Linked DNA regions of Bombyx mori. The protein of the gene in region 1 interacts with the protein of each later gene in a biochemical or structural test. Links are inferred from orthologs where the notes say so. Each region holds a gene or a part of one and is shown in the gene's direction. Other genes may lie near its edges.

The links.
Region 2: the proteins of histone deacetylase 6 (region 1) and src substrate cortactin form a complex in vitro, tested with the Homo sapiens proteins (3 studies listed by BioGRID and IntAct, with this or other methods). The link is inferred for Bombyx mori from reciprocal best matches to the Homo sapiens genes HDAC6 and CTTN.

The regions. Positions count from the first base shown.
Region 1 is NC_085111.1:17,650,055-17,653,887, forward strand, and holds part of histone deacetylase 6, read left to right. Parts: intron 1-685; coding exon 686-809; intron 810-1,206; coding exon 1,207-1,416; intron 1,417-2,559; coding exon 2,560-2,685; intron 2,686-3,408; coding exon 3,409-3,538; intron 3,539-3,833.
Region 2 is NC_085113.1:1,684,413-1,688,925, forward strand, and holds the start of src substrate cortactin, read left to right. Parts: upstream 1-1,617; 5' UTR 1,618-1,885; intron 1,886-2,054; exon of another isoform or gene 2,055-2,098; intron 2,099-2,756; coding exon 2,757-2,896; intron 2,897-3,586; coding exon 3,587-3,673; intron 3,674-4,498; coding exon 4,499-4,513.

The DNA.
Region 1 (3,833 bases):
GTGTTTTTAGATCACTCGTAATTAACACGATAATCGAAACAATAGGAATGTTATTGTTGCAGCAGCTTACACAGCTATAACACTTTTTAATTTTATTTATCGTCTTATTTCGGAAGTTTTTTTTATAAAGGATTTTATGACCTTGTAACTGAGACCTTTAAGTCAAGTCTTATTTTAATTTATATTCTTTTTCATATGAAAATAATATGTAACGAAATGAAATGAGATTAGATGATATGGTATGAAATATAATCTCAGTAAAATAATGGTCATTTACTTGGTAGACTTTTTCAATGGACTGTTTGTAGGATCCCGATAAGTTACGTTTAGCGGCTTTGTTTGATTTACTTACATTTGTGTACTTTCACAGATACTAAACAGTTAATAAACCAACATTATTACACATTAAACCCGAAGAAACACTAAATATACAAAATAAAACAAATCATAATATAACTTCACTCCTTGGGTTTCCGCCAAAAAGTCCATTTCGGAGGTAAATAGTATGCTGTCACAGACTATCTTTTTTTTTTCAACCTGTTGTGCGTTCCGGCTTACGCATGCTAAAAAAAAGGTGTCATTCTAAAACGCCACACAGAATTTTAATTTAAACAAAAATCAATCTTATCGCAATATGTTTTGTAGAATTTGTGTTTTTATTTATTTATATGCTGTATCTCCTCAGGTTAAAGGAGCTGGCGTCGACGAAGTTGCGGGACCTGAATAACCAGAAGGAGGAGTACGACTCTGTGTACTTTCACCCGGAGTCGCTGTCCAGCGCTGCTGTGGCGGCCGGCTGCGTGCTGCAGGTTTTGTTTTATTGCTTGGATGGGTGGATGAGCTCATAGCCCATACTGGTGCCCATACTTACTGGAGCCTATAGACATCTACAACGTCACCACCATCTACAGTGCCACCCACCTTGAGATATAAGTTCTAAGGTCTCAGTATAGTTACAATGGCTGCCCCACCCTTTAAACCGAAACGCATTACTGCTTCACGGCAGAAATAGGCGGCGTGGTGGTCCACTGAAATCGAATGTATTTCTGTGAGTCCTAAAGGATTAAAACAAAAGAAGGAAAAAGTTATCCAGGCGCCTTAGTAACAGAAATCGACAATATTACTTGAGTGCGCCGCGTAGGGCACCGGTGACCTACACGGCAGTCAAAGGGTTAAGACTGAGTGGCACGGTGTTCCGCTCGGCAGGCGGTGGAGGCGGTGGTGTCGGGGCAGTGCGGCGCCGCCGCGTGCGTGGTGCGCCCGCCCGGACACCACGCCGCCCGCGCCGCGCCCGCCGGCTTCTGTCTGCTCAACAACGCCGCGCTGGCCGCCCGCGCCGCCCACCGCGTGCTGCTGCTCGACTGGGACGTGCACCACGGGAACGGCACGCAGGCGCTCACCTACACCGACGACCAGGTGCAACTACACTTGCTCCCAATTTATATCCTTCACACACTAAACAGCAATGACCGTATAAAAAACCATTGGTATACTGGTAATCTCTTTTTTTTTATTACTTAGATGGGTGGACGAGCTAACAGCCCACCTGGTGTTAAGTGGTTACTGGACGGCTGCCCCGCCCTTCAAACCGAAACGCATTACTGCTTCACGGTAGAAATAGGCAGGGTGATGGTACCCACCCGCGCGGACTCACAAGATGTCCGACCACCAGTAAAGGACCGATACTTGCATAATATAATGCCTGTATATTATACTTCATCACTAATCTATATTTCTATACTAATATTATAAAGAGGAAAGATTTGTTTGTTTGTTTGTTTGTATTGAATAGGCTCCGAAACTACTGAACCGATTTGAAAAATTCTTTCACTGTTTGAAAGCTACACTTTTCCAGAGTGACATGCTATATTATTATTTTTTTTTAAATGAGAGATTCTTACTAAAACTCCAATAATGAAACAAATAATAATATAAAAATAATAAAAAATTAGATTTTTTATTTTTATTTAAATGAAAATTAGAGTTCATTAAAATAATTATTATTATTCAAACTATAATACTTTATAATTTTCTATTTTTAGAAACCTGACGCAAATATAAGGGTTAATGTGTGTGTATTATATTTTTTTATATTTAAATTTTTGTTAAAGACCCGAGCGAAGTCGGAGCGGCCCGCTAGTAAAATATATAAGTGATTGAGTTTGTTTTCAATGTCAAATCAATAAGGTAGGCAGCTGCTTGGCTTACCCCTGGCATTGCTGACGTCTATAAGCGACGGTAGCCACTCAATATTAGATGGGTCGTATGCCCGTTTGCCTACGAGGGCAATAAAAAAATAAATCGAAATTTACATGTATTATATTTCGCCATTATGCATCGCCATATAAACACGAATCCAGGGAAGATTTGTGTCATAATTTCTCTCGTACTACCTATGCACGACAGAAGGCGTGCGAGTAGTTTAAAAAAAATGTTATGCACAATAATTAGCGACGACAGTCCTAGCGGAGTCTGACGGAGTATCACTAATTAACAATATAATCAAGACAACCCACACAAAAAATGCGTGTCGATTATAAAATCGATTTTCTCTTTCAGATACTGTACATATCGATACATCGTTACGACCACGGCTCGTTCTTCCCGCACTCGAAGGACGCGGACTACACGGCCGTGGGCACGGGGCGGGGCGAGGGCTACAATATCAACATACCTTGGAATAAGGTAATAAACTAGAATACTGTTACGCCGGTAAGAGTAAACGCCATATCGAAAACGAATATCGGAGGATCTAATAACATCTAGAACGCTCGAGAAGCACAACGCCATCTATTGTCAGATAGCGGAAACGCGCATCGAAAACACTCGACTTGTGAGGAATGTTCTCGGCGACTCTAGGGATGTCGTATCGACTATAAAAACGTTGCAGAGATGCAACGCAGTCAGTTAGTAATCGGAACTACTCGAAGCGAAACAGCGAACTTATCACCTGAAGCGAACCGGGAGAAGTGAATATTGTTAAGTACAAATTAAAGCTATTAAGCATTTAGAACACTTAAGAAACACTTTAAAATTCTCAATTCACTTCTTCCGCTTCGCTTGGAGTACTTCCGATTACTGACTCCTTCGTGCCATCTCTGCAACGCTTCCATAGTCGACACAACAACTCTACAACTATTGAGAACATTCCCGATAAGGCGAATCGTTTCGATATGTGTTTCCACTATTTGATAATAGATAGCGTTGCACTTTTCGAGCGCTCTCGATATGATTAGTTCTTTTGTTATTTTTTTCTGCTATTTGACAACAGATGGCGTTATAATATTAGCGGTGTTGACTTCAAACTTGAGTTTAGAAAATCAGTCGACTAGTGAGATGTTTTTCATTGTCCCAAAAATACAAAGTATATATGCGTGTCCTGATGACTTCCCTTTATTTCTCCGTCAGCGCGGCATGGGTGACGCGGAGTACATGGCCGCCTTCACCCAGGTCGTGCTGCCGATAGCTCACGAGTATAATCCGGATCTGGTGATCGTGTCAGCGGGGTTCGATGCCTGCGTGGGAGACCCACTGGGAGGTTAGAACGCTTTTTGTTTAAACAAGTAAACTCGCCTTGTCAAATTAGCCGAGCGTAAATTCGTTACGTGTGGCGTAATTTGGGGCCAAAATTTATACACTAGCAATCGCCCACGTATGCTCACACACTAATGATCTATTTCATCTTTATATGAAAATGTTTGAGTTATTTGATGTAAAGTACATACACGATTCACACAACGACTATCAGCATCAAAATATTAGATTTTCAAAAAATATTTTTTTACAGAAAATATCATATATTCGACATTCGTAAGGATTAAAAAGAAAAAATG
Region 2 (4,513 bases), on another chromosome or scaffold:
AACACATGCGTGTGCATTCACAGATCCACTAATTCTCGTTCCGTGTCCGCAAATAATACAGGTTAAAATAAGAGAAATATAGATATTAAACGATATGTTACCTAAGCTATAGGGCTTATTTCAGTTTGACGCGATTAATGAATGCTTACTTCCGACTTCGGATCTGGTTCATCCACATTATCTCACTTTTGGTTTCTTCAGACAGTCTAACAACAAAAGTGACCTACCTACATATGCTATTTGATAGTTTATTGATTATTTTTAATTCAATGTAATTCATTATAATTCATGGAATATTGATGATCCGTATTAAGAATAGAACCCACTTTTTATAATAACAGCAATAGAATTGGGTCATAAAGCCCAAATAAAGATTTTCTATTTGTCAGGTGATGTAAGTGACTTTTAAAAATGTGTAATAATATTATACTTTAATTAGTTAAATTATTTATTAGTATGCTTAATTAGTATGCTTGAGTTAAATTAATAATTAATAAAGAAATACGTATGTGAATGTTAAACATCTTCCTGATATACTTACCTATTTGTTTTATTTAATGGTGTATTATTTTAATTAGAATAGAGTAGAATAAAAAAACAAATTAATTGATTTGTCTACCTATTTGATTCGGTTTTTTTTTCTGTCTAGATCGAGAATTTCGTATTTCGTTGCTTAAACATTGAGGAATTACAAATAAACGTGTGCAACCTAGGATTAGTCAATGTTAGTTAATGACAGATATTTTTTTAATAATTAGTATGTGTTTTTTCTTTGGTATCAAATATCATCGAAACAGATAAGCTCTCATCAAGTAAACGTGTTTCTAATAGTGTGGTACGTTTGTGGAGGTATCTACATAGCTAATAAAAGTATGTTTATTTAATAGTTGTTTTTTGTATGGTGTTTGTTTTTTTTTTGTGATATTTTAGTTGTAAGTGTTGTATTTTACGGAATAAAGTTAATGCAATGAAAATATGTATTTTAATAATAATTAAAACATGTCATTGAATGACAATGCAACGTCTTATGCGTTGAGCTCCGAGTTGATCGTTATTCTTTCATACGATAGTAAAGGGAAGGGGTGACTTTGGTGGCATCCTTGGAAAATTCAGGATTTTGCCCCCTTCACCACTTGTCACAGGCCTCCTGCCGACGCCCATATTGTAAACGAAGACAGCCATTTCGGATATAGGGTTAAACTCAGGGTCTATGAGCACAAAGTGGACGATCGTTGAAACTTCCGCACGTGAGTGGTGATTCGAAAGGATGGATACTGGTAAACGAGGCAAGCATCTTCCTGGAATTGGTGTTCGTTGGAAAACGTAGGCTGATTGCTCAGCTGGCAGTGTTGGAAGCTTGATCTCGCCCTCGATCATCGAGGTGGTTCACCCATTCCTTTCAGATTGGGTGAACCGTCACCAAGATCGTCACTCTTCGAGTTAATTACATTGAAGATCACATAAACAAAAATATGCTAAACGGTTGAGTTATTAACAGTTATAATAAATTGCTCAAGCTGATAGTAGAAAATGAATAATGTTATTGACATATTATGTGGTAGGTAACTACTTAATATTTTTATAAATTTTATTTTTTTGTATATCTCGTATATTTTAGTGTATAGTCTGTGATTCTATTTGACAACGATGACATCTGTCAGAGGCTGACGCATCACAAAAACCATCGCCCAAAATTTTATCCAAATACAAAATATGAAAGTAAAAACAAATTGAGAAAACGTTTTTTAGAGTTAAAAAATTCTCACCATTAAAATATATCGATGACATTTTAACCAGTCGATAATTTTTTATGCGTTAAAAGTGAAAGTTTAAAATAGAACTTTAAAAACGTGTTTGTTTTCCTCAACCGGTTCAAAGGAATAAGGTGAATTAAATTAGATTACTACTAATAAGTTGGTCTCAAGTCAATATTGAACTTTTATTATTCCAATAAAAGGATAGTTTTGTTATTCCAATATAAGTAATCAAATAAGTACCTGATTGTTTACGTAAATATAATTTTTTCGTGTTATCAAAATGTTTATCTAATTTTTTCTTCAGATAGTGCAAATATTATCAGTCGTCTGTAAAAGTATTAGTAAGTACACAGATAAATTGATTTGGAAAAAATAAGAAAATATTAAAACTTCTGCATCTCGTTCTATCAATGCTGGGGGTCATGACTACACGTCCTGTCCATGGCATCATCAACCTTATATCATTCGATATTTTTGCAAGTACCATCAGCATAATTATGTAATTGCAAATATTACAACAAGCACAAGATGCATTTTTGCTCCACACCTTTAAACTGATACTACTTTTGATTTTAATTGAGTGCTTATTGTCTTTCTATTACATTGTAGAGAGGCGTTTCCCTACGTGAGGCCTATGCCCTACAAGGGGCCAATTTGATAATTAAGTGGGGCAATTGCACTAAATGAATATAGAAAATCTGTATTAAAATTATTTTGAATTTGAATTTCAGTTTTTATTATATGTTTTGAAATATTACTTACTGTGTTCTGATAACAATTTCATAGTGATTTCTACCTAAAACCTAACATTTATGTTTCTTAAGTGAACAAATCAATTTTTTAATGTTAAAAATTATATTGTATGAGGGCATAAATATTTTACAAAAGTGGGAAACACTGTTTTATAGTTAGAAATAACCTGACAATAGCCCCTGTTTCCAATCTATAATTTGCACATAAGTCATTTTTAAAATATCTGTTCAAACATTTCACTCACAGATGTGGAAAGCTGCTACTAATGTGAAGGCACCAGAGCCTGCTGAAGCAGATGATTGGGAAACAGATCCCGACTATGTTAATGATGTGAGTGAACAGGAACAAAGATGGGGGCCCGCCGGAAGGAATGTTGAGGCAATTGAGTGAGCAATGTTTTTTAACCTAATTTATGAGGTTCGATTATAAAGCTTATACTGTTGAAGAACATGGTTGGGACTGCATTTACATGTATTTTCGTATGTCAATTACACAGTGTGAATAAATATTTTTGGGAAAGCATGACAGTTTTCCGCAACATTATTGGCTACCCTAATTTTACACATAATTGTTTGTAAAGTTAAACTATTATCACATATTTTTTCATGGGATGGAAAACATATGTGAAAGTGATAGGAAAACATATATGAAAGTAATAAAAAAGCTCAAAAATATAAATGATTATTTAATTTACTTAAATTAAGAAACACAAAAGTTGATCTACCTCAATACAGGCTAATAAAGCGTACCTAATGAATATCCTATGACGTAAAGAAAGCAATCTGTAATGTTAAAACCGCTTTGTAAATGTTCATTTGTTTTGAGACATATCATTTATGTATAATGAATTAGTCATGCTTGAAAAACTTGGAATTATTTTACATATTATATAATTTGTTGAATATAAACTGACCCTTGCTAAAGAGTGGTTATGAGGTCCCCTCGGTGAAGGGGTCCAGTGCTCAATATACGAACCAGATACTATACATGTTTTATATTAAATGTATTTATTATATTATGTAATATGTGCCCATATTATCTGCACCTATTACAATTTTATTATAATTCTTTAACAGCATGGCAAAATTACGTGAAGAGGTATTTGAAGCTGACAAATTAGCCAAGAAGAAACAGTATGAGGCTGGACCGAAACCTTCATTTGGGTATGTGATCAACTTTAAATGTGGTTTCCAGGGCCTGACCCAATAAAGCCTGGTATAGCCTGAATAAGGTGTATTCTTAAGTAGTAAAACAAGTACACTAATGAATTAATGATTGATGAATTAACATTGCATAAAATAAATCAACATGTTAAATTAATTATAGTGCACGTTACGTCAGCTCGCTCAAGTAAATAGATGCTAGATGTCATATAGCATAATTATCATTAAATTGAGACTTTGTTGTAGTGGATACTTGTAGTTGTCTTCAATAACAAAAGTCTCTGGTCAGTGAACCTAGAATAGTGACGATTAAGGCAGATTATATGACGAATAAACTATATTGTTACTTGGGTAAGAATAACGCCATCTGTCATTAAATAACAGAAACGAATATCAAAAGAACTAGTAGTATCGAGAACGCTCGAGATGTGCAACGCCATCTATTATCAAATATCGGAAACACATATCGAAACGTCTTGTTCTATCGTGAACTTTCTCAATAATTGTAATCTTGTCGTGTCTACTATAAAAGCATTGCAGAGATGACATGAAGGCAGTTGGTAATCTATTCGAAGCGAAACAGCGAACGGATCACGTGAAGCGAAGCGGAAGTGAAGTGCGAATTGTAAAGTGTTCCTAAGATGTTCTAAGTGTTAAATAGAGTTTTAATTAGTACTTCGCTGGAAGCTTTATTCATCCCGAGTCCCAGCGCGTAACAATATAATATACCATTTATGAGGAAATAATGACTAGAGGCTCTTTAATAGCATGGAAAGACCAATACTATCAAAGATGGTGTGTTTATGAGCTTGTCGAATTTGACAGATATGGTGGCAAATT